Linked DNA regions of Oreochromis niloticus. The protein of the gene in region 3 interacts with the protein of the main gene of each other region in a pairwise test. Links are inferred from orthologs where the notes say so. Each region holds a gene or a part of one and is shown on either strand. Other genes may lie near its edges. The genes, in order: vamp4, bet1, stx4 and stx6.

What was found.
Region 1: the proteins of stx4 (region 3) and vamp4 interact in binary tests that used the Homo sapiens proteins (3 or more experiments, as listed by UniProt). The two-hybrid records come from large-scale screens. The link is inferred for Oreochromis niloticus from reciprocal best matches to the Homo sapiens genes STX4 and VAMP4.
Region 2: the proteins of stx4 (region 3) and bet1 interact in binary tests that used the Homo sapiens proteins (3 or more experiments, as listed by UniProt). The two-hybrid records come from large-scale screens. The link is inferred for Oreochromis niloticus from reciprocal best matches to the Homo sapiens genes STX4 and BET1.
Region 4: the proteins of stx4 (region 3) and stx6 interact in binary tests that used the Homo sapiens proteins (3 or more experiments, as listed by UniProt). The two-hybrid records come from large-scale screens. The link is inferred for Oreochromis niloticus from reciprocal best matches to the Homo sapiens genes STX4 and STX6.

Annotation. Positions count from the first base shown.
Region 1 is NC_031986.2:38,756,547-38,764,419, forward strand, and holds the start of vamp4 (vesicle-associated membrane protein 4), read left to right. Parts: upstream 1-4,852; 5' UTR 4,853-5,070; intron 5,071-5,761; 5' UTR 5,762-5,896; coding exon 5,897-5,899; intron 5,900-6,704; coding exon 6,705-6,806; intron 6,807-7,873. Other genes in the region: rangrf (ran guanine nucleotide release factor), read right to left, coding at 2,783-3,358. UniProt on the Homo sapiens protein: Involved in the pathway that functions to remove an inhibitor (probably synaptotagmin-4) of calcium-triggered exocytosis during the maturation of secretory granules.
Region 2 is NC_031985.2:24,358,178-24,365,379, reverse strand, and holds bet1 (BET1 homolog), read left to right. Parts: upstream 1-4,854; 5' UTR 4,855-5,042; coding exon 5,043-5,061; intron 5,062-5,227; coding exon 5,228-5,334; intron 5,335-5,510; coding exon 5,511-5,567; intron 5,568-6,153; coding exon 6,154-6,309; 3' UTR 6,310-6,699; downstream 6,700-7,202. UniProt on the Homo sapiens protein: Required for vesicular transport from the ER to the Golgi complex. Functions as a SNARE involved in the docking process of ER-derived vesicles with the cis-Golgi membrane.
Region 3 is NC_031973.2:5,168,790-5,175,905, forward strand, and holds the start of stx4 (syntaxin-4), read left to right. Parts: upstream 1-4,106; 5' UTR 4,107-4,289; coding exon 4,290-4,319; intron 4,320-4,671; coding exon 4,672-4,764; intron 4,765-7,031; coding exon 7,032-7,116. UniProt on the Homo sapiens protein: Plasma membrane t-SNARE that mediates docking of transport vesicles. Necessary for the translocation of SLC2A4 from intracellular vesicles to the plasma membrane.
Region 4 is NC_031986.2:36,180,035-36,187,540, forward strand, and holds the start of stx6 (syntaxin-6), read right to left. Parts: upstream 3,016-7,506; 5' UTR 2,843-3,015; coding exon 2,808-2,842; intron 1,154-2,807; coding exon 984-1,153; intron 1-983. UniProt on the Homo sapiens protein: SNARE promoting movement of transport vesicles to target membranes. Targets endosomes to the trans-Golgi network, and may therefore function in retrograde trafficking.

The DNA.
Region 1 (7,873 bases), on a different chromosome or scaffold from region 3:
ATAATCGGTAAAAGTGACAGTTTCATAAATAAAAGTGCAAACACAGGACCACCCTGTTTCTCTAGACCTCTAACTCTAATTTGGGATTTGAAGTAGAAGGTTGCAAAAAAAAAAAGAACATGGGAGCTGTTTTTTTTTCTCTTCAAGGACACTTTACCAGTTTTTCCCAGAATATGAAGTCTGCCTGCCAGGCTTCAGGTTACTAGAGGTAAAAGACAAAACAATTACTGTGAGTGCTGAAGCATTAATCGAAGCCGAAATGCCTGTGTGACTGTTGGATCATTTGAAAGGTATCATTAGGGCATGATACCTAAATTTCAATACACTATCCAAGCCCACTAACAGGAACGATATTCATGTTTTTAATATGATACAGTTTTTGGCTGATAATGTGTTATGTGGTCCCTGGGACATATTTATGTAGATTTCTATGTAAGTGTCTTCATCCTCATATTTAGAAATCTGACAATATATTTCATTCACTCCACTTTACTTACTTTAGTACTACTTGCAGCTCATTTTTCTTGCCTTTTTTTTTTTTGTACTAAAGAGTGTCTGCAGCACTTTAAAAAAATCTGTTTCCAAGAAAAAGAGGTCTACTCTTGGTACCATCCAAACTATAGAGTTTCTGAATTTTCTTAAACGCAACTTTAGGTTTAAAGTTTTTGGAAACCGTTTAAAAAAAACTGTAATACAGATACTGATTTCTGGAATAGGAAAAATAGTTGTTTTTTTTAAATTTGTGACTATATTTCAGTTTCCTCTACCATGGCAGAAACAGACAATGGTTCTTTTGTTTGAAACTCTCACTCATGTGTATACGACAAGCATTACAAGTGAAAAACCTGGAGACTATAGAACGTGCCCAGGAGCCAGTCAGTAATAGGCGTTTTTCCAGGCACTGAAAGTCCATGGTAGCTGGAAAAGCGTCTCCTGACACGACCTGCAAATCGAATACCTTTCCCCAAAGCCCTCATGGGGAAACACAGGATGTTTTCATTCTTTATTACAAACAGAACCAACACAATGCTTATCCAAGGAAACTTGCTGTTCTAATAAGAGAGTATGCTTTGGTTAATGAAGGAATGTGCTGCTCAAGGATCCTGCGAGGAAAGGACGCCTGACTTTACGAGATTCTTAATCAGTCGTGGTTGTGCCAGAGGAGGAGGATGGCTTGATGTGGCACTGGGGAGACAGACTTTACTTCATTTTTATTTGTTATGCACGACTTACCTGAATTCTCCTGCTGTGATGAGTTTTATTTAACAGCAGATTTAAGTTAAAAATATTTTTTTGTTCCTACAATAACACGTGTACCTGGAAAAGGCTTTGATTATACACCACATGACTTACAATGCTGACATCTAAAAAAATCTGACTCCAGAAGGACATTTAATAGAGGCCATTTTCCACTCTATAAATTTGGTTTCACCAAACTCACTCTTGAATGAAGTGTCCTCAAGGGATTTTAGGGTTCAGACTAATGAATTAATCCACCATGAGGCCACTGGTGTGCACGATGGAAACAGTTGACCTAATACATATTCCTGCTGGGACTGGTCCTCTCCGTTTTCACTGTTTATGACGAAACCATGAAGCTCTCTGTGGAGGCACAGAGGGCTCCATGAATATTTCCTGTATTTAACTTCTCCAGAGGGATGTTGGGATCTAATTTCAGCCATAATCTTCTGACTTGTACACTGACTTTTGGCTACTACTTTTATCACCACTGTACTGTAAAAACAGCCAGTATAAAGAGCATATCAGAATCTGGGTGTTACAAACTTAAAATCAAGTAGTCCTAAGGGGAAGATTGTGATTTATACATAATAATAAGGTATTTCTCTTCGTTAGTCATTTCTAATTTACTTGTGTTTTGTCTGAAACAGGTCTCTCTTGTAAATGAGACACTGAGTCTCAATAGGACTACCTGTATAAATAAAGTTTAAATAAATTAAAATAAATAAGTCTCCATAAAACATGCTTAAGTACAACGGCAGTGTTTTGGAGTAAAATACAGAGAGAATGAGACAAGTAATTCCAGATATGCATAATAAAGTCATTAATTTTTTCAACAGTTAATAGTTTTGTTTCAGTCCTTAAATTAAAGTTGATTTTGAAACGTTATCACCTTGTAAACATTTCAAGACCCAATTGTACCTTTACGTAGAAAGGAAATATCTTCAAATGAATGATAATTTGCTCATATTAATCCAATATGTGAGATTTAATACAGACTATAGTGGCATGGTATACACCAATCATTTGAACTTTAAATAAAACTAAACAACAGTGGGAGCCTTCTTGTCATATTTGGTTTGCAGTTTTTAAATAGAACAAAGCATAACAGGGACTCCTGTGTTTCAGGGAAGAAGCATGACTGCTGCTCTCTGAAAACTTTATTTGCATGAAAACATACACCTGACTATATCTCAGCCCTAAAAAGCATTGACGCCATGCACAAAATGTTCTTAAAATATGTAATTAACTACTGAACTGATTGAGAGATTTAAAAAAGTTTAACTATGAGGTTATTCTACAAAGCATTTTCCCCCACATAGCGCTTTTTAAAAGATAGCAACCGCATTATGTACGGGGGAAAGGTGGCTTTAAATAAAGGGTCTATTCCACTGGGGAGATGTGTTGTATGACATTTGATGCAAACGGAATAAGCTCAGAATTTAAAAAATATAGTCTATAACCAGTCTGCTTTTTAAAAATGTTGTTAATGTCCCACAGGGAGAGAGACCGAGAGACACCATATCATAAAAGTGGACTTGCTCTACCCGAAGAGCCCAGGGTTATGCAGAGTCAGAGTCTGTACGAGGCGCTGGAAGTCCTTCACCATCCAGGGCTGTTGGTGTGTCCCCACTGCACAGGCACTGCTGCTCTCAGGGCTGATACTCTGCGGGTCATTAAATGTGATGAGGACATCTGTGGAGAACTGCGGCAGACGGAACAGGCCCAAGTGGATGGTCACTGAATTCCTTGCTTCTTCATTGAACTTAGAGACGGACTGAGTCCCAGTCAGCATCCACGCAGTGCTGCACTCTGACAGGGACAGCTCAGATTTGGGCAGAGTCACAACACTAGTCACTTCAAAAGCCCCCGGCTCCAGAGCTTTGTTGCTTCCCGCGATGTCCTCAAAGTGGTACCTGGCTGCATCCTGGTCTGCCACCTGACCCTGGTACTCCACCAACTCGACGATCAGGCTCTGGTCTGTGTGGGCGTGGGCAAACACCTCCTGGTTGTCCGGGATTTCTCTCAACTCGCTGATATCTGTGGCGCTGTGAGGGATCACAGCTGACAGGGCTCCTCCAAACAGAGGATGAGCCTCGTTAGCTGCTGCACTCTGCATTTCTCTGTGAAGCCTGTAAACAGAAAGAAACACCACAGGTGAGACCGTCTCCACCCACATAAACACCACCTACTTAACAAAAATTGTAAAGGAAAAAACAGAAGCTTTGGTGAAGTTGCTGAACACATCTGCAGCTCACCAGCTCACCTCCCACTGCACGGTCAATGTGGTTCCGGTGAAAACTTAATCTTCTTCTTCTTGTTGCGTGTGTTTTTTTTTTTTTGCCATTATAACAAACACGCTGCTGCCACCTACAGGTGTGGCAGACCTCGACAGAAACGATTTCGCAGAATAAACTTAAAAATTATAAATCTAAAGTTTCTGATTTAGTTTTCAAGCTCATAACATACATAGCAAAAAAAGAAAACAAAGAAAAGAAATATATAAGTAGGTTTAATTCGAACATTTAAATGCTGAATGTCCAAATGACGTACATGGACGTTCAACAAAACAAAGTTCCCAATATATTATTCATCTACATAAAAGTAACACAAATTTTGTGCTCAAAAAGGACAAGTATAAACTTATATGATCCCACTCCTGCTTTCTGTTTCATAGCAAGATTCACCTTTCTTTCAAATGACCTGGAAATGACACAATGACACAAATGACAAATGACAAATATAAACAAAAGACTCCCTTAACGAGGTAAAAAGCTGGATAAATCTAACATTAAACCAAAAATTAAAAAAACAAGAATAAAAGACAATAATTTCATGTAATATCTTTAAAGATGTTAAATACATCCATTAATTTTTTTTTTTGTTGCAAACCATGAATTGATTAGGTTCATTAATAATCAACACCCATTGTACCTTTAAAAAGATGTTGGATACATTAATTATGTTTGGTCTCATTTGGATTTGTGGGAAAGAAACGATTCAGTCTTTTCCTTTATGAGTAAAAATAACGTATTCTTTGTTCGAAAATGTTAAGTTGTCAGTGTTATCAGCTCAACATTTTTAAGCAACCCAAATGTTATAAAGAAGAAAGCATGTAATGTACAGAAAGAGCGGAAGAATCTGTCTATTTATAGATCAGCTAAAACTTATTTTACCGTATTTATTAGAAAAAACTAGTGGTAATATCCTTGGTACAATTCTCTGTCTCAGCACTGGCGATTGTTTGTAATAAATAGTGTAAAGGCACCATAAATACATTGGTAAAATTAATTGTTTCTTTGAAGAGACCAGATTTTTCTTCTTTCTAAACATATATTACTTTGAACTTCTTGTATAGATAAGGTGGAAGAAGACATTTTAATAAACAATGAAATCCTCATAAACACTGTAAAAACACGCACTCCTGTGACAAAAGTCAAAGCAGTCTACTTATTACACTGAAAATTGGTTTATCATTATTATTATTGTTATTATTATATTTTATATATTTCTGTGTAGAAGTGGAATATTTACTGCATAAAAGAACGTAAGGTAAAACATTTTCCGCAGGCCGTAAAACATCTGCAGCAATTTCTCCTCCTCCTCCTCCAGCTGTTTGTGTTGATTTCCTGGTCAGCTGATTCAGACCGAGCAAAGATAGGAAGAGGAGAGCTGGCATCCACAATGATCATCGTGTTTCATGGTCATTGATAGCATTTGAGATGAATCAAACAGATCCGTAAAGTCGCATTAAGCCTTCGTGTTAATTTCTGAGTTTCTGTGTGGAGGAGTTTACCGGCTTCGAGCGGCGGATCCTGTGGAAAACAGCAGGTAGCCGCGTTAGCATCCTTAGCTTAGCTTAGCTTGGTAGCTAAGCGGCCTGTCTGATACGGGTAAAATAATAAAGAAGAGTGTAACTAAGCTGTAGTAGCTTTTAAATTGTTTTTCGTATTGTGGAGTTGAAACTTCATTGTTAATTAGGTTGACAGGAATATTATTTTCTAAGATTTAGGCTGTCAAACAGCTCGACCTGCTAAAGTTGTTGACGGCTGTGATATAATGTTAATTAGCTTATGAGATTGTGAGCTTGTGTGTTCAGTTTTACTCCTTTGCTAAACTGAGGGATCCTTAAAGCTATTACTTTACTTGTAATAGAAAAAAGGGGGGAAATCGGCCGCAGATAGCCAAGCTTTACTCATTTGGTATTCCTCTCTTGATAGAAATTGATTGTGGGATTGATTTTTCATTCTTCTTCTGTTTGCTTAAAGTTGCAATCAATGAATTGATTAGGGTAATTAATAATCAACAGCCAACATTAAGCAATTTCCACAGGTCTTTTGTTCCAGTGTGAAACCAAGCCTTTCCTTTATGTAATAAATCACTGCTTTTCTTTCTGTTTTTCAGTTTTTTACCTTTAAAATTGACTCTTGAAATAGACGTCTTCCTGCTTTCCTGCCTGAGCCTTAACATGTTACGTAGATGTAACTCTGGCTTCTTTCTCTTCACACTATTCCTGCTTCAGATCTGTCCCCTGCCTCTCTTCTCTGTTTACTGGAAAGCTCTTCTCCTCTTCTGACCGCTGAAAGGCCCAGTTTTCCAGCTGCAGTGCCAGAAAAGGAATCTGAGAAAGCCACTGTGTCAGAACTAGCTGGATTCAATGGTATAAGTTGTATTGTTGGTTTAACAGAGACTCTGTGTGTGTGTGTTTGTGATTATATTACCACTGAGGGCCACATGTTGTTTAGTTCAGTGTCACAGAGGCCCTTTAATGAAGCATCTGTGTGTGTTTTGTCTTGCTCTTTGGAGCATGAAACACCCAAACACAGACTCCAGGGTGCATAATTGGAAGAACAGCATGTTTTCCATTTCCGTGTTACATGGAGAGCAATGATGACATTTCCTTTCATATCTAGTGAGACTCAACACCTGCTCCACCAGAAGGATTTGGATTTAAAACAGCTTCATAAGATATCTGTTTTTGGACTGTTTTAAAAAATATTATGTTTCTTGTATATGAGAAGCTGGAAACTCAATATCTGATCCAACATCACATCCAATTACTTTGGGGACTGGAAAAATCAGTTATCTTGAGCTACACTCTTGAGATTCCTAAACCTGATACAGTAAAGAGGCTATGTAAAGTAAAATAGCTCAGATGAATAAAATAGAATACAGATGTCTTACATTAAAGTGGCTCAATATATCCAGAACAATAAGAGTGTAGTGAACAGTGAAATAAAGTAGCTAAACAAATAGAGTTGTATTGCTGGGCCGTGAATTCACATTTAGTCATTTATAATGTTTAGATTCTCAGTATGTTTGTAAACTCTGCATGTGGTTATGTCTGTAACTCCTTTCCTCTTACCAATACTGGAATCTTCTCAATTCAGGTATCTAACTCTGTTTTAAGTTCTCCCACAGTGTGGTAAAGCTTCATTGATGACTTTTCTTCTCCTGCCCTACAGAGGGAGCCAGACCGGGAGGAGCAGCCTGAAGACAACATGCCACCGAAGTTTAAACGACACCTCAACGACGATGAGGTCACGGGATCGATTCGCAGCGAGAGGGTGAGACACAAATAGACATGGAGGAGCTGGTGTTTGGCGTTTGGGTTTGTAACAAATTGCATGCGCAGTTAGAGAAGCAAAGTAGGACATGTAGTATATTTTCTAAACCACTTATACCATTCATGGTTGGAGAGAGATGGAGCCTGTTCCTTCAGATGTTGGGCAAGAGGGTACTGGACATGCTGGACTTCTATCTCATAGGGTAACACATTACTTTTACTGTGGATTGACTGTGGATCCCATCCTGAGCGAGGAAAAAGCCCTGTATCAGATGTAGAAAGTTTATTTGTCAGATTAGTCATAATGGAAAAGCAACAAAAATAAGGGGAGCGAACCAAAACAACTTTTTTTTTAAGGGGTGAAGCTTTAGAAACTGCTATGGCCAAATGTCTGGTCCTCATCAGGTTGATCATCCCGTCCCACGCACCTCAACCTCCCCTGTCCTCCTCCTTATTCTTTATTGTGTTCATTCCTCTCTTTCCTCTGTGTCATCCTGTTTGCTGTTGTGTTGAGCTGAGATCAAAGCAAAGCTTACCGGGAGGCTTGCATAACAAAATAACCTCCCATGCTTTTCCTTCAGTGCCCGGCCTCCTGTCTTACAATAATTGCTAACAGTTTCCTTCACGTCTGCTGTCTCGAATGGAAAGAAAGAAAGAAGTTTGTACAGAAGGAGATTGTTAGTGCCTTAACTTATAAAGTATTTTATGATCTTATGGCCACCATTCCCACAGATTTTTTGCAGATGCCATTTTATTTACAGGAGAATAAATTGTATTGGCCCGACATTGACTGGCAGAATTGACACTACAGTGCATCCATAGGTGTCGCAGTTATTAGAAGGTGAATGCCATGGCTGAAAGAATTGAGATTTTAACCTTCGTTACTGCTAAGGTAATGAAATTCAAATGTAATTGATCTTTCTCATAAAAATTTCACACTGTTGGGTTTTAATATCGATTACCTTTCTTGTGTAGTCTCTAGTAGCAGTGGATAAAGTCCACCTGCCTTCAGTCCAATAAGAAACAGACTCGTTCTCTTCTCCTGTGAGAATTTAATGCAGCTGTCCT
Region 2 (7,202 bases), on a different chromosome or scaffold from region 3:
GCTGAGGACAGCAGTTCTAAACCGAGCGCTACAGCCTCAAATGTGTGATCACCTCTGGTTTTAAAGTAAGAGCACAGAACAATACAGAGAGCTTGATCAGATGATCTGAGAAGTCAGTCGCAGTGATCAGGTCTCAGTAGCTTTGAGTTTTAAGCAGGAACCTGTCCTGCTTATATTACTGCGCTTTAATATTAAATTCTTTTAACTGCTTTTTCTTTTTTTTGTAAAACAGGGAATTTATTAGAAATAATTAGAGGTCAGAAATTAATCAAGCTAACATTTAACCACTACACTAATTGTTCTTATCACAAAGAAAACATCTAGCTGTAGCATTTAGCATCAGCGGTATTCTTGAAAGTACCAGCACCTGGATAGTTCCCACACAATACACCAGAAAAAGCATTTTTTCCACACTTTAAGTATGAGATATGCCACTTTGGCCATTTGTACCTGTGTTATCGAGCAGTGTATTTATCTTCACCATAAGTAATGACTTTGTATGCAGTATTCAGACTAGAAAACAGTACCCACTGTACTCACAAAAATACTACTTTCTATAAAATGTTAACAATTTTTTCTAATTATTACAGATACTATATAATAAGTTCTTAAGAATCTTAGAGTCTGTTAAATTGTAAACTATAAACGTCCTCACTGCAGTACTGTTTACCACGGCACGTTCAAATCTGTTGTGGAGATTTCAAGCACCATTTGAAAACTGTTAGATATCTCAAGAGGATGAAAAGACATCTGTGCAAAGACTGTGCAAAGAACGGCTCAGGGACCGTGCATGCTGATCAATGCAGCCGGGCTGTTCTGCATCCACGCAATTCACTGAAGATGAATGCCAGTTTCTAGACATCCAGAAGCCTTTCTCCACTCTAAAGACCTTTTTAATAAATCCAATCCTCTCAGATACACAAAGGCAGCTGAGACTGGTGCACACAGTTCAATCAATATCCTCCCTTTCTTTGACTCATGTCAAGGTCATGCATACAGCAAAGCCGTTGGCTGAAACATAAAAAGATGACTGCTGGGGCATTGAAATGCATTATGGCAGAGGGGAGCTTAAAGTTTTATTTATTTATAAGATATTGGATTGGAATAAATTAACGTCACGAAAGTCATTCTAATCTCTTATATCATATTAGCTGTCTCCTGCGATATTGGCACAGAGCTAGGTGAGCGATGATGTATGAGGGGATAAGAAAAGCTCATCACTGCTAAACAGCACCTCTAGGATTTTGCAAATATTGAGAAACTCTTTTCTGTCCCATGCAGCGCAGATGGATGTGTCAGTAAGCCCGTGTTATTCAGCCCACAAAGAAGATTTCTTTCCATTTTATGGTGATTGCCTTAAAAACTCTTCAAAGTAAAACATCTGTCTGTGTCTAAAAGGAGCCTCATAACAATTTTGGCAACCAAAAGCATGAATGATGACTGTTGTTTTTGTGTTACGAGAAGAGATCCAGAGCACATACAGATGAACACGCAAGAAAAGATTCAAACAACATTAAATTTCATTAAAGCTAGAGGAGTTTCGACACAATATGAGTCCCTGTAGAATATTTTTAATTTTAAAAAAAAATCTGAAATATTATGAGATTCTTTTAAACTAGCCAGCACGAGAAGTTCAGCAGCCACTTAAATGTTTGCTGTGATAGCCCGAATGACATCTAATCATCCATCCGTCCTCTAATTATACCATTTCGGTTTCATGGAGGGCTGGAGCCCACCTCAGCTATCATAGAGCAAAAGGCGGGGTACCCCCTGTACAGGCTGGAAGTCTTTGTAGGACTAACACAGGTAAAAACAACCATTCGCACTCATACTCACACCTGTCCTGAATTTCTAATAACCAGTTAACCTATGACCTGCCTCAACCCACTACACTATCCTCCCTTGCTAGGTTTCTTTCCTCCATGAAATCCACAACCTGCCCACAAGACACTGTGTACTTGTTGGTCCAAGCAGCCTCTCCATCATCAACAGTTCTATGTCCACAGGGTCCAGTGAGTCCTTTAAAACTAGACTTAAAACTAATCACTCATTTGAGTCCATCTGATTGCTCTTTGTGTTTCCTGTGCCTTTTTTGGATACGACTGTATATGTTTAGCACCCACTAACACACATTTATTTATTTATTTTCTATTTCCTTGGTGGATTTTTTTGGTATTTTTTCCCATTCTACCTTTTTTTTTATAACACTTTGATCAATGTGAGTTGTTTTTTTAAATGTGCTTTATACGTCCTTCCTCCCTGAAGGAGGAATACTAAAACAAGAGACAGGAGAAACTGACACAGATTCATATTCATAATGTAAAGGAAAAAAATCAGTCACATAAAACACCCTACATTTATCACAGCTTCAGACCCATTACATGAGAATCAGGCGCTCAGATTAGAACCTCTGACATTCAGAGCCTGTGACTCTGTTAATAAAGTCTTTTGATGTCAGTGTGGAAAGATCTGAAGAAATCTCTAAAGTTGTCAGGAAAAAAAAATGGTAGGGGTCTGGCATTCAGGGATCTAAAAATTATTTGAAATGAATGAGTCGCTGTAGGGGAAAGTGACGTTTCTGCTTCTCTGTAGCCTGAGAGCAGATTTAACCCCTTTCATGCAAAGAGAAGTTTTCAAGCACTCTCAGATATGGTCACAGCATCTGCAGGTCACTGCTGCTGCTGTTGGTGTCTAAGTTTCGGAAAGAGACTGCACAAATTGGATGGTAGCTGCACCAGAAAAAATGCTTTTATTGTCTGAAAATAATATTAAGCTTGCTATTGAACATACAGGCTAAGACTGCTTACAATAATGTTGTCTAGACATAAAAGATATACTTTTGTGGTTACAATAACAGAGGATCTGTTGGGCACGGACCAAAAACAGCTTTTCCAGGGAAGATGTTTGTGAAGCATGTTGGTGGAATTTGGGGTTACTTTGTTGTGGGTAATGTGTAGATTGCAGCCACTTTGATTCTGTTTCACATGAAAGAGCTTTCAGATAGTTTGAGCCTATCTGTCTGAAAGTTTAAGGTGAAGAGGAAGTGGACCTTTTATCAGCATCATAATCCTAAGCACTGTAGCAAATCCACCATGAAATGGTTGAAAAAAAGGACAAATGGAGAGTGATGGAATGGCTTATAGTGGTCAAAGCCAAGATTTAGATCCCAGTGAAATTTTGTGGGATGTTTGTGCATCTGACTGCTTTCAGTCGTGAGAAGTAAGAGAAGGAATTCTGCTTGGAAGAGAGGTCAAAAATTCCAGCGATCTGAAGTCAGAGACTGGTGGACAGTTATCCAAAATCCCTACAGGTTTTTTTTCTGCAATACAGGGGCAACATCAGCTTTATATCGCATTAAAAAAAAGAAAGAGCCAAGTTACTTTGGCTTCTTTCGATATATGACTATAACTCTTTAAATACTGTCACCTCACTACGGGCTTGAGGCACACAGACTAAAGCCTGATGTGGATATGCTTACTTGTGATAAAAGTTTCCCTTTGTTAGTGGGTTTGTCAAATTTCAAGGTGTAGCTTTTGAAAATTTCCCTGCAGGGATACACACTTGACTATATGCTTTAGAGCACCGTGTCAAATATGTGACTCGGGCGGCAGTACTAGCCTTCCAAAGGCTCCAATTTGTACCACTGGATGTCTTTGGACAGTGTGAAAATTGCAGTGAAATAATTAAAATTTCAAATAAAATACACTGCTTTTCATTTTATTTTGTCAGCTTTACTACACATGAGTAAAGAAAGTCCACATGTTAAAGTTTTGTGCTCTTCAAAGCAATCTTGTATATGGAATGAGAACAGGAAAAAATAACATGTTTTTTTGAAATCACAATTATTTTTTAATGAAGATTTCTCAAATTGTTCATCCGTTAAATGAAAAGAATAATTTAACAAAAAAAACCCCCAAAACAATACCTTCTGTCATCTGGAAAATATCAAAGGGAATTGAGTAAGTGGCGTCTTTCTCTCAGGCTTATGCTTTCTTAAGTACTTCTTGACAGCTAAAGAATGGAAACAGTTCAGATGGGTGTTGTTTTATGCAGAGGTTTTACTGGTCTGGCCCACCTGAGATCAAACTGGGCTGTATGGTATGGCCCATGACATAAAATAAGTTTGACAACCCCACTGTGGACACACTGCAGGGTACACAGACAAACTAACATCAGATTATTTTTGTGTGGGCCTTTCATTCTATAACATATGTGCAACCTTGTTACTGAAACCTATTCAGTGTGGAAAATAAAAAGACAAAACAGGGAATGACTTGACAATAAAAACATTATTTTAAAAATATAAGTGACATGATTTAGGCGATTACTAACACCATGTATAGTATAAAGGTCAGACCTCCATGACATATTTAGTATTTTTCCAATGTTTTCTTATTAGATTGAGCGTGTCACTCTAACAATTACACTACATTTACTACATTTATATTCCATTACACTCCACTGCCAACTAACAGTGATTTGCAACACTGTACATAAAAGAAATTTATAGAAAAAAACATTACCAACATATAAATATTATTAAACAACATGTCATTTTTCCTGAGTATTTATTTGTCACACCTTGAAAAGTTAAGGTAAATTTTAAAAGTTGCTTAAATTAATCTAAATTAATTGTATTATTGTAATGTATTGAAACTGAATGGATATTCAGTATGACAGTAACGGGGTTGCGCAAGGCATAGCAAACAACATCTAATCAAAAATACACTTATAAAATATGTATCTTTGTCTAATTTTTGATGGCTAATTATTTTTTTACTTAAAATTTAATCTATTACATAATGAGCAATTTACATTTTTCCTTTTGAAACTGATTTAATAACTTTTGAAACAAGCTTACATACGGTTTTCCTTTTTACGCGTTTTTCTCCATTTGTCCTCGTCGGCCGCCGTATGGTGTCGTGGCGTTTGTGTTGTGAGCAGACGTGATACAGTTACCGGATCAATCAGAAGTCGAACTTCATTCTTATTTAGTCTTTTAATATAAACCATTGGACAGTGTTAGCTTCGGTCGGGTCAAAATGAGGCGCGCCGGACTGGGTAAGAAACAAACAATTAAACCAAAGCTTCTCTTTTCCCATACGTAGCATTTGTTGCTAACTAGCTAACTAAAGCTAGCTTATGTTATCAAATGTTTGTTGTTTTGCACTCTGAGTACTCTGTTGTTCATGAACACTTTATTAACGCTTAGTGTATTTTAATACAGGTGAAGGAGGCTCGGGGAACTATGTAGCTAGTGGATATAGTGTATACGAGGAAGAAAATGAACACCTACAGGAGGGTCTCAGGGCTAAAGTCAACGCTTTGAAAAGTGTAAGTAACTGCTGATTACGAGCTTTTTGTTGTTATTTTTAACAGTCAGTGAATATTGCAGCAAAGAGTTTCATATAAATGAGTCGACCTTTTCCGTATGTACTCAAAATGTACACTAATTTCTTCAATTACTATCTTTTACAAGTCACGTAATCATAATGAATTGATTTTTACAGCTCTCCATTGACATTGGCACAGAAGTCAAATACCAGAATAAAATGCTGGAGGATATGGTGAGTTTTACTTTGGAGTACGCTGGACCACTTGCTGCTACAGCAAAAACAAAAAAACAACATTTAGTGTTGTCTGAGGTTGGCAGGGAGCTATTTTTGCCTGCTTTGTGTGTTGTTTTATGTTGTGGTTTGACTTATATTGGTCAAAGTCACTGAGAAACCCCTCAAAACTAAAGAATTTGAGTAAATGATTCAGACTCCAGAAATGTCTCCCACCACTTGAATATTGTTCTCTGCTGGACTTTTGTAATCATGTAATCAGGGTGGCTGTAGCTCAGGAGGTGGAGCAGGTCATCTACTAATCAGAAGGCTGGTGGTTTGACCCCTGGCTCCCCCTGGTCAGCATGCCAAATATTCTTGGACAAGATATTAGTTAATGCATCACTCTGACCCATCCATAAGATTATGAATGTGTGTGAATGTTGGTTAGTAAGCAGTTGAAATCATAGAAGAAAGTGCTTGTGTGAATGGGTGAATGTAGCATATTGTATTTAGTGCTTTGAGTACTCCAGCAGAGTAGAAAAGCTCTATATAAGAATCAGTCTATTTACCATTTACCACTTTTCCTCTCCACTTCTCACTTTAGGACACAGACTTTGACTCCACAGGCGGCCTGCTTGGTGCCACCATCGGCAGAGTCAAGAAGCTGTCCCGGGGCAGTCAGACCAAACTGCTGTGCTACATGCTGCTCTTCTGCTTTTTCGTCTTCTTTGTCCTGTACTGGTTTATCAGTTTGAGGTGATAGGAGGATCTTATTGGACTTTGCTCTTCGGTTCTTCTCTTCCAGTTTGTGCTACAATGACACATCTGAACCAGACCAAGATAAAGAGAAAAGGCAGGGATGTTTTTTTTTTTTTTTTTAAAGTCATTACACTTTTATGTGCCACAGTGTCAGGCTTTCAAACAATGACTCGAGAAGAAGTTTAGAAAGGTGTACTGATGCTGTTTGATGGAGTACTAAAAAGTAAAAGTGGTTTAGGACAATGTCTGAGAAAATCAATAATCACAGGAAATGTAGTGCATACTGTATGCATAAACGAAGCAGACAATATCAGTATTTACGGTGTTTATACTTAATATCTGACCAGTTAACCTGGATTGAGAAGAGCATGATTTATGACTGTAGACGATACAGCAGTGTCGAGAACTGTAACTCTCAGCAATCAGCTGAGTTCAAATTGAACAAGTTATAGAATGATCTGCATAATCTAGTGTATGCGCTTTTAAGGGTGAAAGGACACATTCCTATTGTCATATGACGACCACACGTGCGACAGTAGTGTACGTCATTGTTTCATCTTTATTGTAAAAATATTAATGTAAATAAACAAATTTTATGCCCTGGATTAGCTGGTGTAACTTCATGCTGTTGGATGTGCTGAAATGTCTTCAGCATGAAAATCTCAAACATAAAACATCCATTTTTATTAAAGAACATTATTTTTCTTTATTCTAAACAATAATTACAAAAGTAACAAATTACATTCAATCAAAACTCTGCATTGTTGCACATGTGTACAGACAAGGAAGGGGGGGGGGCTTCATTATTCTGTGTGATTGACCGTATGAGGATGTCTTTATGACCACATACAGTATTGTTAAAAAGGCAAAATCTCCTCATCTGAGTAACTGATC
Region 3 (7,116 bases):
ATCGTGCTCTAAAATAAGATCTGTTAATCATGCGGAGCTACTTTAGCAGAGCAGACAGGAATGAGTATAATAGGACGCCCTTAAAGACATACAATGCTAAATTGGGTTCATTCTAAGGTGTAATATCTGAGCCACTTATTTCTTTTCTGAACTGAATTGAACTGAATCTAATTTTTGCATCTAAAGCTGCAGTATATTGATTTCTTTTATATTTAAGGTAATAAGGATCGAGACAGGAGAGCTTTCCAGAGTGCAACTTTAGCCCTTTTACCAGGACGTACTGAGTTGCAAGACAGCGAGACTGAAACATGCTGACAGAGGATGTCCAAACATCCATGACAAGCATCTATAGTTTTCCTGGATTTGCCAAAGATACATTTATTTCTAATGAATATTGATCATTGTGGCTATTGTTCTCGCCATTTTTAAGAAAGATAGAGTTATCATTATATTTTTTTAAATTAATGAACGTTTCCTTGGGTAGCAGCTGATGTATGTCTGACTTAGATTCGAACGCTGACACTACTGTTCCAAAGTCGTTAATGTCGTCAATACACTATCCAGCACAAGCTTGACAACAACGTTGTACCAAGGGCTGAAGGAACATCTGGAGTAGAAGGAAGGTAAAGTACAAAGTGGTCCCAGTGCTCCCAGTAATCGGAGCATTAGGAGTTGTAACCCCAAAACTGGGAGAGCAGCTCCAGCAGATTTCAGGCACCATATCAGAGGTATTCAGAAGAGTGCAGTCTTACATATACCTCAGATGCTGTGCAGAACCTTCAAACTCCCAGAGGGTCCTACAGTACCTTAGCCCAGTTCTTCTCAACCACTGATGGTGGTGTCTCCTAACGGTACATAAGCAGCACAGATGTTCTATCCCAGTCACTCGTTTGGGTCTGTCTGTGTACGCCAGGGGTGGGCAACTTCAGGCCTCAAGGGTCAGTGTCCTGCAGGTTTTAGATCTCACCCTGCGTCAACACACCTGAATCAAATGATTAGTTCATTTCCAGGCCTCTGGAGAACTTCAAGACATGTTGAGGAGGTAATTTAGACATTTAAATCAAATGTGTTGGATCAAGGACACATCTAAAACCTGCAGGACACCAACCCTTGAGACCTGGAGTTGCCCACCCTGGTGTATGCTGTCCAATAGTCTAGAGGGAACCTTTGGACCCCCTGCAACTTTGGTCCTGGCAACCACCTCCGGTCTCTTTCATCCTTATGTCCATACTGCTCACCATTGTTCCCAGTGTGCTGTAACCTCTGGATCTCCAGCTTCAACAGTAACCATCTTCTGCTGATGTTATTGCACTGAGCTGCCAGGTCCTTCTAGCTCATTGTGGATGTTGGTTTTCTACTGATCCCACATGTGCTGCACATAACCTTTTTTATTGTGTCAGCTGGCATAGTAACATTCCACCAATTCCATATTTTCAGTCCTTCTCCATGTTTGCATTGTTCCAATAGACAATAATATATAAAGGTGAGCTTGAGACACTGGACTAAAGCTTTCCTGTAACATTTGTGTTTAGGTTAGGAGATTGTGCCACCCTGTGGACAACCAGCAGTCCTGCAGCTCAAAGAACCAGCTGCTGCAGATTATTTAACTCATTCAGTTTAACAACCATATCTTAACAATGCATCTGCATGATCGCAGTTGGTTTATTGATATAGCAATGTTTAATTTTATGAGTTGTTTTAAGATTTTATGATAAATTAATGTGAAAGCAGTGCTCTACAATTTGACTTAACATAAACAAGTTTCATTGTTGGGGCGGAGGTCAAGTTAAGGCAATCATTTGTGTTCTTTTAAAAATCCAGCAGAATTTCTTCCTGATTATTTTTTGATTACTGAAACTTCATTACTCTGTTCATCAAATCATGAGTCAGTCTCTCACTTTCTGCTTCAAGGTTCCTACAGATGCCGCCCTCGTCCTGATCAGTGCACAGCTATGAGCCTGTCCTCCTCCCACAGGGATCTTTGTTCTTGAAGGTTTCTTTGGTGTTGGGTGTTGTAGAATTTTGTAAGTAAAGCCTGCAACACGGAAAGAGCTGTGATCAAGCTATTTATTACTGCGCGCAGGAGAGCCAACACACATTTAGCATCACAGTTCACAGTCATGCCAGCTCTTCCCCTTGGGATGTCTCAGCTTCTCTTTTATACCCCCCACACACAACTCTGTGTATCTTTTAGTTACAATAGGTTTCTGTCCCACGGGCTGTGGCTGGACAGGGGACAACTCCCACTATCTTTTCCCAGGAAGCTCCTGGCGCTGGCCCTGAGTTTCATCCTTCTGAGCAAAACAGTTAGCAGATAACATAGTGAAACATCGTTAAGCAAAGCTAAGCAGTTTTCACAAGGTCATGCTGACACATACACATACTTCATCTGAGCATTCAAAGGTTATACAAAATCATACAGTGAAGTTCTAACCAGCTAAATCTACATGTAAGGATAAACTAGAATTTTTCCATAACATTGGGCCAGTTCTGCCTGGAGTTTGTTAGTTTCCTCTTAGTGCTGAGAATTTCTCAGTATTCTTTTTCTTTTCTCTTTAAATGCTGAGAGCTGTTTTTAGTTGATCCAATTTTTTGGGAAACATTTGTGTGCAACTTCCCCTTTCTTGTAAACTTCTACTTAAAGAAATACCCTTGCTTTTTCTGCCTTATCTCTTTGAGTTTTACGCAGTCCTTTTCAACTGCTCTATCTCCAAGACTAAGGCAGCATGCTTTTCCTCTAGGGCCGTTATCTGTTCTGCCTCATTGCCCAATGTCTGACTGAATTCGAAGTTCTCAGAAACATAACATTCACTGCTCGTGTTTACAGGCTCTAAAGCAGCCTGTGGTTCTTTCACTGTGATGTCACTCAGCTCAGGGTGAAGAGGTGGAGTAGTTTGGAGAACGTGTGGTGTTTCTGCAGACAGTGGGCTTCAGTGTTGGTGCCATAGGCTGTGTAGATGTTTCCAGCAGGTAGTTTAAGCACCACTGCAGACTCTTGGAGGGTCACTGTCTACTGTGGTCATGGAGCTGCAGCAGACTCCAATTTTGGTGCTCTAGCAGGCTGTTCCAAGATTTCAGTTCTTGATTTTCAGCAGATATTAGAGTTGTGACCTAAACTAAAATGTTGTAACTCCCGACTTTCAGCAGGGATCAGTTTCAAACGTCTTTCAGGATTTGTAAAGCAGGATTTTCTTGTTCTAGTGCAGTTACCTTCACATAATTTGGATCTGAATGAAAGCACTCTTCAGATTCAGAGGCTGCACTTTTCATGCCAACGCAGGAGACAGCAGATTTTAGACGGTTTTACTTTCAACTTGCTTGGACTGCACCTGTAAATTCATCACTTATAGCAAAATCTGAATTTTTTAGGCATTTAAACAAGCAAACTATGGACTGAATTGTTTCTGCCTCTGTGTGTAATGTCTTTTTTCATCTATTTTTTTTATAGGAAAAGATTTTGATTCCTCAGGCAACGGCTGTTCTCCAGTCAGTAGAAACTATTAAACAGTAGTTACAGGCCGATTGGAACAAATCAGTGTTTCTAAATTTAATTTAGTCACGCTGTTTATAATGCTGCCACAATATGACCTACATGTAACTTTTGGTGCCTAGGTGGTACAGAACAAGTGAGTGAACATAACATTAGATCTTATGTCGACATATCAACAGCATCTGCAAGTACAAGAGTAAGTGAGCAATATTACTGGCCCTATAAAACTGGCTTAATTTTAAAATTTGTAATAAGTTCTGAGGTCTGTTTTCTGTAAAGTCTACAATTGCATGTTATTACATTACAACACCCATGACCAAAATATTGTTGTTCGTCTTTGTTTGCTTTTCCTGTTTATTTTTTCCTCTTTTCCTTCACTTGTCCACTAAATTATCTATTCTCTTCTTTCTTTTTCTGTGCCTCCTTAATCTTAATATCCTAAAGTCACGACCCTTATATCCCTACTATATCTGGACAATATATGTTTATTGATCTATATAAATATTCGCACATATTTATCTTTATATGCCTAGATTATTCTACGTAGTGAGTATTTGGGAAGAAAGGAAGCCTACGTTTGGAGTCTTTCAGCAGTTCCTCCTGCTATGACAGGGGGCGCCAGTGAGTCGATGAGTTGAGTGTTGAGTGGGCCGCAGAAGAAGAGGCGCTGCCGCTGGAGTTTACTAGTTGAATGACAGCGGCGGCGTGAAGTTTGCGGATATTACGCTTTGGGAGCGGCTCGCTTTATTTCAGTGCAGCGTTTTTTTACTTTTGATTTCTTCCCTTCGCTTTTGGAAAAATGAGGGACCGGACCAAAGAATTAGGAAATGTGAGTTTCAAAGTAAACTGCTAACATTAGCCCTAGCTTGCTAGCGTGGCTAAGTTAGCCCAGTTCACTACTTTACCCGAGTTAACCAAAGAGTCTCCAGGGACAACTTAGACCAGCAGAGGGAATCAAAAAAGTGGTTAAAGTGGGATTTTTTTTGCAGATATTTCTCTTTATAAAAGTTGACTTTATTGACGTTTCACTTCCAACTTCCGTTTCAGTCCTTTCTCCTTAAAGGATAGGGCAGGCCGGGACAGGGCAGGGCTGCAGGGCTCATGATTCACATCCTCGGACAGCGAGAAAGCACTCACTGTTTTTCTTCTGTTTATGTTATTTAAAATCAATGTGACTTCAGACCGCAGAGGCTTCGGATGACGATGAGGAGGGCAAAGCGCTGATGAGCAAATCTGGAGGCTCAGAGAAGGAAAATGATGCCTTTTTCAAAAAGGTAAGGCAGAAAAATCACGCACTTCTCCCTGGAAAATCCCCCAAAATCAAATGATCTGCACTGTCCTCATTCACTGTGGTAGTTTGCGCACATTTCTGAATATCACATTTGTGTAAAAGAGAGACAAAAATGCACTGCAGAGGCTTAAATATCACAGACTGCTGCTGATGCTTCTTAGCCTGTTTTGTCAACAAATCATAGTCTGCTAAATCCCAGTCTCCTTGTACCCGAACTGTCATGAGTAAGGAACCAGAGTTAGTCACCTAATATCACAAAATGTGACTATTCTCTGCGCTGATCTTAGGCCTCTGTAATAATATGTTTGAATATTTTTTGGTTTTGATTTAAAATGGTTTGAAGAAACTGCTCATTTTATGCATATTCACCCTTTTGTCCTTGGAGTCTTATTCTTGGTATGGAAAACTCCCCCTAGAAAGTATTTTAAAGGTCCAAAAAGTGTGACTAATATTTCAGGAATGCCTTAGATATTCTCATATTTCAAGATTCAAAAAGTTTACAAGCAAAACACAGTTTACAGGTTAATATAAATCTACAAAATTGCAAATGTACAATTATGAATAATTAATGTTCGACAGTTCATCAGTGATTCAGCCTGATGGCCCGTGGATAGAAATTGTTTTTTGGGTTTTTTTGGTCCAAAGCAAAAACATGGAAAGTAGGAGACCTCTGAGCCTGATCCACTTGACCTTCTTGCCACTATAAATTTTTAGAAAGACGTTTATGTTAGTGACACCATTCACCAACAGGAGGAGAGAAGCTGGAGGATAAGGACCAAGGTTATCTGGGGAGAGGACACAAGGACGTAAGGGCAGGGAGCCACAGAGGCTGGACATCCAGTGTCAGGTTAAATAGATGTGGAGTCAGAGCAGTTTAAACTGTACTGCGTAAATAAGTGGGTTAACGGTGCTGTATGCAAGTGTTTTATTTAAAAAAAAAAAAAAATCAGCAGTTGTTCAACTAACATGAATAGTCTAGTTATAAGGCAGATTAATTGGTTAGTGAGCCATACTGAGCCTGAAGTCAGTTTCAACTGTCATGAAGGTGGCTTTTTACTTGGCTGGATCACTATAGTAACTTGGACTGAACACATGACCTGGTCTGCAGAAGGTTATGTTCAGTGTTTTGGTTAAAAATCGTCTGGAAATGCCGTGTTTTCACTGATTGAGAATATGTTGTACGTATGGTTATGTTTTTCATGCTGAGGAAAGCTGAGCAGCAGTGTAAACAGGGTGCAATCATGGAAGCTCGCTCACTGAAGAACTTTTTTCTTTTTCCATCCATAAGTCAAAATTTGTAGCTGGCGTCTTAAAATGTTGACTTTGATTTGGCCACAGACTGAAGTGGTTTCCACACCTTTGTCATCGAGCCATGGTCCATTGTTAGTCCTGAATTCACTGAATATTATGATGAATCAAGTTTAAAATTTCACAGCTTTAACTTGCAGCCGTCGCGTCAAAAACCTTTATTGCTTCGGCAGAAAATAAGAGGGTAAGTAGCAGCCAGGTGCTGCTAATCAAATGCGTGGGAAAACTACGTCATAACTTGTGACATAACTGGAACCTCCTCTTAACCCTACGCCATAACCTTCCACGTGTTGTGGGCTGCATCGACCCAGCATGTAGTTATATTTCTTGAGAGGTGCACGTCAGGTTACGGCGTAGGGTTAAGAGGGGATCTGGTTACGCTGCAGATTTATTCATGCATTACTTTACAGGACTGGTATGACTTTAATAGAGCTGTGCATAAGCAAATGTCTGCTAACCTCAATGACCTGAAACAGTGTTGAATTGCTTCCAAACAAGAAAATGATTACCTCAAGTTATGGGTGCTAAAGGTTTTTCTACAAGCTGCTGAATCGTGAAGTGGACTTTTTTTCATGTGATGGTATATTAATTCATGAATTCACAAAACAAACAATTTTCTGTAGCACTGCTTCTCTGAATTATTTGCTGCACCAGTATTGCTTTGTTTTGTGAGTGCAGTCAGAGCCTGAAGCAGAAAGCCTGTGTGATACCCATTATTGTCTCTGATGGGGGACTTTAGGTGTTATTGAGCCAGCTAACGCAAAGAAAGCTTACCTATGTTGGCATTCCTTCATAGTAAGCAGAGGCAGCTGCACCCATTTAGCTATAAGGACCGACAGAGGGAATAGGATGATGTTTGCTTGATATATGAGTTAAATTGAGCTAACAAAATAGTTCTTTTGTTCCCTAAGAAACCTAAAATTCTTTCCCTGTCATCGTCAGGTCCAAGAAATTCACGAGGGGCTCCAGCAACTCAAAAGGATGGTGTCTGACCTCGAGAACAAACAGAAAACTGTGCTGGGCGAGG
Region 4 (7,506 bases), on a different chromosome or scaffold from region 3:
GAAAAATCACAACAACAGTTGCTTTATAGTGTTAGGTAAAGGCCCGAGAAAACTGAAAAAAACCCAACAATCAGACGACCTACGTGCATGCACTTGGCGACAGTAGAAAGGTGGAGGTTTCTTCCTTTTAACAGAAGGAAACCTCCAGCAGAACCATGCTCAGTGAGGGGTGGCCTTCTGAGAGACCAGTTGGGGATGTGGGGATGAAGACAGAACCAAGACATGCTGTGGAAGAGAGCCAGAGATTAATAATAACTAATGACTAAATCCAGGGAGGTGTATAAACACATAGTGAGTGAAGAAGAAAGTGCATCATGGGAATCCCCCAGCAGCCTACACCTATTGCAGCATAACAAAGGGAGGATTCAGGGTCACCTGATCCAGCCCTAACTATATGCTTTAGCAAAAAGAAAAGTTTGAAGCCTAATCCTAATCTTAAAAGTAGAAATAGTGTCTGTCTCCTAAATCCAAACTAGAAGCTGGTTCCATAGAAGAGGGACCTGTTCTAATAAATTCAACACGATCACTTACTCTGTCTTCACAATCAGTGATTGATTGGAGCCAATTTCAGTGTTTGTAAATATGTAATTAATGATTACTAATTGATTGATCTGCTCTCAGCATGGACGAGGAAACAGGTGTCAATCGGCAGCTTCAGATGCAGTGGGAGGGGAGGAGTCTGTTAACCTCCTCTTCTTCATTAAATTGTCATCAAACTGACTCTAACCATTTATGAACCAATCAAACTGTTCCATCTCACCTTGTGCGCCAGGTCTATGTGAGGATTTACAAACAAAACTGTCTTCACTGTCCAGAGTTTTGAGGTGATACACATCTCCTCTTCTTCTTCATTCTTTCTTTTTTCCACAGCTGAACGAATCAGCCAATCTCAGATGCTCTAATCATAAAACTGTATTTACCTTTCCAGTACATCTTTATATACACCTGTGCGTGTTTCTGCTGGCTTCACATTTGAAGGATATTGATTGTCTCGTCAAGGTCCTCTAGGTCCCACTCGATGGAGCGCAGGCTGTTCCTCAGCTCATTGGTCGTCCAGTCTATCTCCTCCTTGGAGGCTCCGCCTCCCTCCGCCATCAGTTCGCTCCATCTATGATGGAGGCTCTGAGCAGCGTTGACTGCTTTCTGCACCTCGCTAAAAAACAAACAAACAAACAAAAAACCAAACAGGTGAAGCGGAGCTTCAGAGGAACCTTAATAGCACAAACCAGAAACAGAACCAGGTCTATCTGCTGCAGGGAGTTTTCATGTGACGTAAGGTAACTGGAAAACTAAATAAACACAAAACTGGAGGGCCAACTTTATTGATCGTTTACTGATCAGTGTTGAAATGTCCAGCAACAATTTCAGTCAAATCTGCACAGCCACCTGGTTGTTCTTCTACAGAGCCAAGGAATCAAGATGTTTTTAAAATCACATGGCTCACTATCTGTACTCTGCCATGTCCCCCTTTCTCCACACAAAATATGAAAAAGAAGAAAACATGTGAAGGAACTGATTTGTCAAAACAAAATGTGTCTAAATCTGAACAAATTCAGGTGAGAAAATATTGATAAGTAATAGATCAATCACAACATGACACATTCATACAAACAGTTTTGTGAATAAGACCCACACTTTATTATAGTTGTAATCATTAGAAAAGCTACTTATAGAAAGGAACCTATTAGGTGAAGTAATGTTACACCTGTTAACAGGTTAATTAATCACTGATCAATAAAATCAAACATCTCAACTGTAACGTTCAAACAGGCTGAAATCAGAAGCGATATAAGCACAAGCTGTGGTCCTGTGTGTGAATCAGGAGAAGATACGGGTGTTCCCTCATGTGACAAGTGATTAAGGTGCTAGAGAGGGCAGCCTCAGCCCACCTGAGATCAGAGGTGAAAACGTCTTAAGCCTCTGAAGTTTGGACAGTGTATTATACAATCATCATGAGGGTCACTTTCATTTAACACGATGCAGCTGCTGCTGTGTGGTGGTTTATACGTTTGAGGAGACACAGTTCACTTTGGGATTCAATGGGAACATCATGAGAGAACACACACCCCACCCCTCACAGATCACTGAGGAGAAACATCATAAAAGTTGGAGACACCAACAGACTGTAGAAAGTGATCAGGAGAGGGTTCTGTGATTGGCTGCAGACACTATAAAGCTGTGATGGAAACGAAGCCAGTGCACAAACTGTTCTCCACCACGGATCATCCTGACCTCCCTCTGCACCACCTGCTGCACAAACTGCTTCACCTCCACAACATACAGGAGGTCTGTGACTCTCTGATAAACACACACCTATCTGGAAATGTCATCATTACTATTAATAACAATATTATTATTATTATTCACCCACTCATTCATTCATTCTCTGCCGCCTATCCAAATCTAATTATTATATTATTTTAATTGTTGCTGTTTCAGTTTCATTCCACCTGCTCCAAACAGAAGCTGGTAAATTTGATCTAAATAGAGTCTCTCACTCTTTGTCATCATCATCATCATCATCATCATCATCGTGGTACACACACGGTCTAAAACACCTCCTAAAACTTTAATCTGATAAAAAAAAAACACACACAAAGCTAACAGGCTAACATGCTAATAAACTAAGTGTGAAGACACATTTATGCTAACGTTAGCACGTTAGCTGCCGTGAATCTGCTCCGGCACGCACGTTGGTCTCGCTATTGACGGAAACAGATCGATGATCAGATCGATTATCGATCAGCTATCACCTGTCCGCAGGCTAATGTTAGCTGCTAGCTCTGTGTTAGCGGCGCAGTTCTGACCCTTTGACGACGAAGAACGGGTCTTCCATGGACATCCCGCCGGCTCTGCTCACTCCATCACCCACTTTCTCGTAACCGAATCCGCGGATTCTGATTTCCGCCGGTCCGTCCTCACGAAGCCGCTAACGGAGCCGCTAACGGGCTTTGTTTACACGTAGCACCGGAAACAGCTCCGCGATGACACACTTTTTCTTCTTCTCCGACTCTTATTACAGTTTCCAAACACGAAAACAGCGCCACCAGCAGTTGCGGGGAAATAACATTTAATTGAAATATTATACAGTGGTCCCTCGCTATATCGCGGTTCACCTTTCGCGGACTCGCTTTTTCGCGGATTTTTTTTTTTGTGTGCAATTTTGCATGAATTTTTTATTTTTTTATTTTTTTACAGTGCATTGTGTTCTGCGTCCTAACTGGCTGTAGATCATTGTCAATCAATCTCGTGCCGTGGTCCTGTACAGTACAGAATGCGTTCAGCTTGTCAAATTTACATAAATCTTCGATCGCTAGCAGTGTGACTCTGAAGTGCAGTATTGTATGTTTGTTTTCTCCCCAACAAACACAACACTGTCGATGAAACGTTTTGCACCGTCAAAGGCAACTGCGGGTGCCTTTGGTTTCATTCTATAATACTGGACTTATTTTTCTACCAAGGTTTCAACTTTGAGGGTGTTTAAGACGGGCAATGTTCTGCAGACGATGAAAACAACTTTGGACAGGACAGCCAACATGCTTTTCCAAGTTGAACACCTGATCAAAGGTAACACCCAGATTTCTCAAAGTGGAGGAAACTGAACATGAGAGTGGTCCAAGATTTTTAGTTGCTATGGGAACAAAGTTGTCAGGTGCACAGATCAGAACTTCATGTGTTTTTTATTAATTCAAAGACAGATATTTTGCTGTCATCCAGTTCTTTATAACATAATTACGGTCTTTAAGGAGAGAAAAGAATATTCATCCATGTCTCTACACATTAAAATATAATTTGATACTCTACAAAGTATGGTGGATATTGGAGTGCATCTAGCAAAACTCAGACTGAAATTAAGCAGTTCAAACCTCTGTTAGCTGGTTGGCCACCACTTTTTCAGAATAAAAGGGAATTTTGAAATTGGCCTACAATTCTCAAGTGGCGGGGTTAGCATTGGGCTTTTTTAAAGGAGGGTAAATAATAACCTGTTTGAAATATGTAGCAACAAAGCAATTATTCATTACCTTAAGAACACATGGTGTGAAAGGTGTGAAAGACCTTTTTGAATAGTGAGGTTCGTAAAATGTCAAGTTGGCAAGAGGGTGGTTTCATTTTACGAGCCACTTCAGAGAGATTGCTTATTTTGTCTAAGAGTAGTGGACGGTTAAGGCATGGGCCCAGAGAGGAAGGAGGAGGGGTAATATTTGGTCTGATATTATGGGTCTTATAGAGACAGAAAGCAAGAAAGTTTTTACACTCTATTAAATCTGCTGGCACATCAGAAATTACTTACTGGAGACAGCTCGGTCTGCCATAAACACCCAGTGAGGGAACCATAACATATCCCGATGACTCAAGGAAATGACAAGTTTTCCCACCAATTCCTTGTTTCCAAAGCTGCCTCAGTCACCTGAAATCCAGGCCTTACCCCCCAACTCGGTCTGCGTCTGCAAGAAGTTCGATGACACTGAGGCTGTGATTCACCAAGGCACTGAAAAGAAACACTGTCTTCCAAGGAAGACAGGATAGAAGACATGCTGTGGAAGAGAGACAGAGATTAATAACAAGTACGATTCAATGCAGAGAGGTCTATTAACCCATAGTGAGTGAGAATGGTGACTGAAAAGGAAAAACTCAATGCATCATGGGAGTCCCCCAGCAGCCTATGCCTATTGCAGCATAACTAAGGGAGGATTCAGGGTCACCTAATTTTTATAGACATGCTCATCATTTCTGCCATCACTGCATACAAACTCTGCTTTAATGTTTCTAATACAATCTAACATCAGCTTCACTCAGGTGACAGCTCTCTGAGCTCCTATTAAAAGTCAGAGGTCACAGTACTGACAGTGTTTATCCTGGTGCTCTCAGCATTCTGCAGATAGATTTCTTCAGAGTGCCTCGTCATCTGCTCTCAGACCACCTGAAGCGATACTCAACAAAACAGGAGTTATCCATAAAAGAACGACAGTTTCGCATTCAGTACCCTGCTGTGCAATGTGAGCTCAGCATAGCCAGGGTTTGTTTGCATTATCTGGATTTACTTATCCCAACATCAGCACTTAGGATCTGCAGTCACAGGAAGCCATTGCTGACAACCCAGAGTGTCCCAGTGTTCATACAAAAGGGGCAAGACTGGCATGATCTGACCAATCACAGTTACTGGCTCACTTCCACAGCATGTCTTTGTCCTGGCTTCATCTATTGACCCCCATCTGGTTGCGGCAGATGGCCACCCCTCATTCAATTTATGTTGTCTTCATTCAAATTCAGTTGTTTTCATTCAAATTCCGTTGTTTTCATTCAAATTCAGCTGTTTTCATTCAAATTCTTTTATTTGGATTCAAAGTCTGTTGTTTTCATTGAACTTCTATTGTTTTCACTCAAATTCTGTTGTTTTTCATCCACATTTTGTTGTTTTCTTTCAAATTTCATTTTTCATTCAAATTCTGTTTTTTTTAATTCAAATTCTGTTGTTTTCATTCAACTTCCGTTGTCTTCATTCAGATTCTGTTGTTTGTTTTCAAATTTGAATTTGAATGAAAACAACAGAATTAGAATGAAAGGAACAGAATTAAGATGAAAACAATGGAATTTGAATGAAGAGAACAGAAAGAGAACAGAATTTGAAAAACAAACAACAGAAGTAGAATGAAAACAACGGAATTTGAATGAAAACAACTGAATTTTAAAGGAAAGAACAGAAGTAGAATGAAAACAACAGAGTTTGAAAACAACAACACAATAGAATTTCAAAACAAACAATAGAACTTTAATAAAAGGGGAAAATTAGAAAACAATGCACTGTGAAGTAGTCAGACTCGAACGTCAAGGAAGGTGGTAGGGAAGCAGACTAGGCAGACATTTCAGATTTCCAAGGTGAGCAATTTATTTACAGTGAACTTAATTTAATGTAACTTAACAAAACTTCCCCCGAAATAAACTCTATTAACAAAACTCAACATAACATGGATCTGGTAGCTCAGCTCAGCTCAGCTCAGCTCCTGCATCTGGTAGAGACTGGCTTTAAATAGGGCCATCAATTTCCCTCCAATTGCCCAGCCAGTACCACTCACTCAAACTGAGGGATCTAAAACTCTACACAGATGATTTAAAAACACAAAACCTCTTCACACTTCTAATATACACATTTACACAACTAAATGGCAGTATTAACAAAAAGAAAAACATTCAACAAATTCCTTTAAACCTTAACACAAACAAAAGGAAGCATCACTATGGAAAAAGAAACCCCTCCACTTGGTTTGACCTGCTGATGTCATGTTTGACATCATCAGGATTTTAAAATGAGGAAATGCCAGGCGGGCGTTTCCCCACACCTGACCCTCATGAAGACTGAAAAGACAAACAAAGTAAGTATGAACAAATGACTTAATCTGTAACATAATAAAATATAAAGAAACATAACTAAGTATTTGTCTTAATTTGCAGAATGTTTGATTTGCTGACAACAGAACGCTTACACAAACAAACCCGGGATAGTGAGTGAAGCAATACTTGACAAATAGCAAAGCATAGCAAATACATAGAAACAGAATAATGTGTACAATGTGCAAAAAAAGGTAAACACATATGGGACAAGTGAGAGCATTGCAACTGCTCCTCCACTTTGTCACATGCACTTTGACTGAAAACAACAGAATTTTAAAGGAAAGAACAGAATTTGAACGAAAACAACAGAATTTGAACGAAAAGAAAAAGAAAACAAAAATTTCAAATCAAAAGAACGGAATTTGAATTAAATGAACGGTATTTGAATGAAAACAACAGAATTTGAAGGAAAAGAACAGAATTTGAATAAAAACAACGGAATTAGAATGACAACAATAGAAGTAGAATGAAAACAACGGAATTTGAATGAAAACAATGGAGTTAGAATGACAATAATAGAAGTAGAATCAAAAGAACGGAATTTGAATGAAAATAACGGTATTTGAATGAAAACAACAGAATTTGAAAGAAAACAACGGAATTTGAAGGAAAACAACAGAATTTGAAAGAAAAGAACAGAATTGGAATGAAAACAACGGAATTTGAATGAAAGGAAAAGAAGTAGAATGAAAACAACAGAATTTGAATGAAAACAACGGAGTTAGAATGAAAACAAGAGAATTAGAATGAAAACAACACAATTTGAATGAAAACAACACAATTTGAATGAAAACAACAGAATTTGAATGAAAACAACGGAATTAGAATGAAAACAACAGAATTTCAATGAAAAGAACACAATTTGAATGAAAACAATGGAATTTGATTGAAAACAACGGAATTTGAATGAAAGGAACAGAAGTAGAATGAAAACAACGGAATTTAACTGAAAATGACAGATTTTGAATGAAAACAACGGAGTTAGAATGAAAACAACACAATTTGAATGAAAACAATGGAATTAGAATGAAAACAACGGTATTTGAATGAAAACAACAGAATTTGAAAGAAAACAACGGAATTTGAAGGAAAACAACAGGATTTGAAAGAAAACAA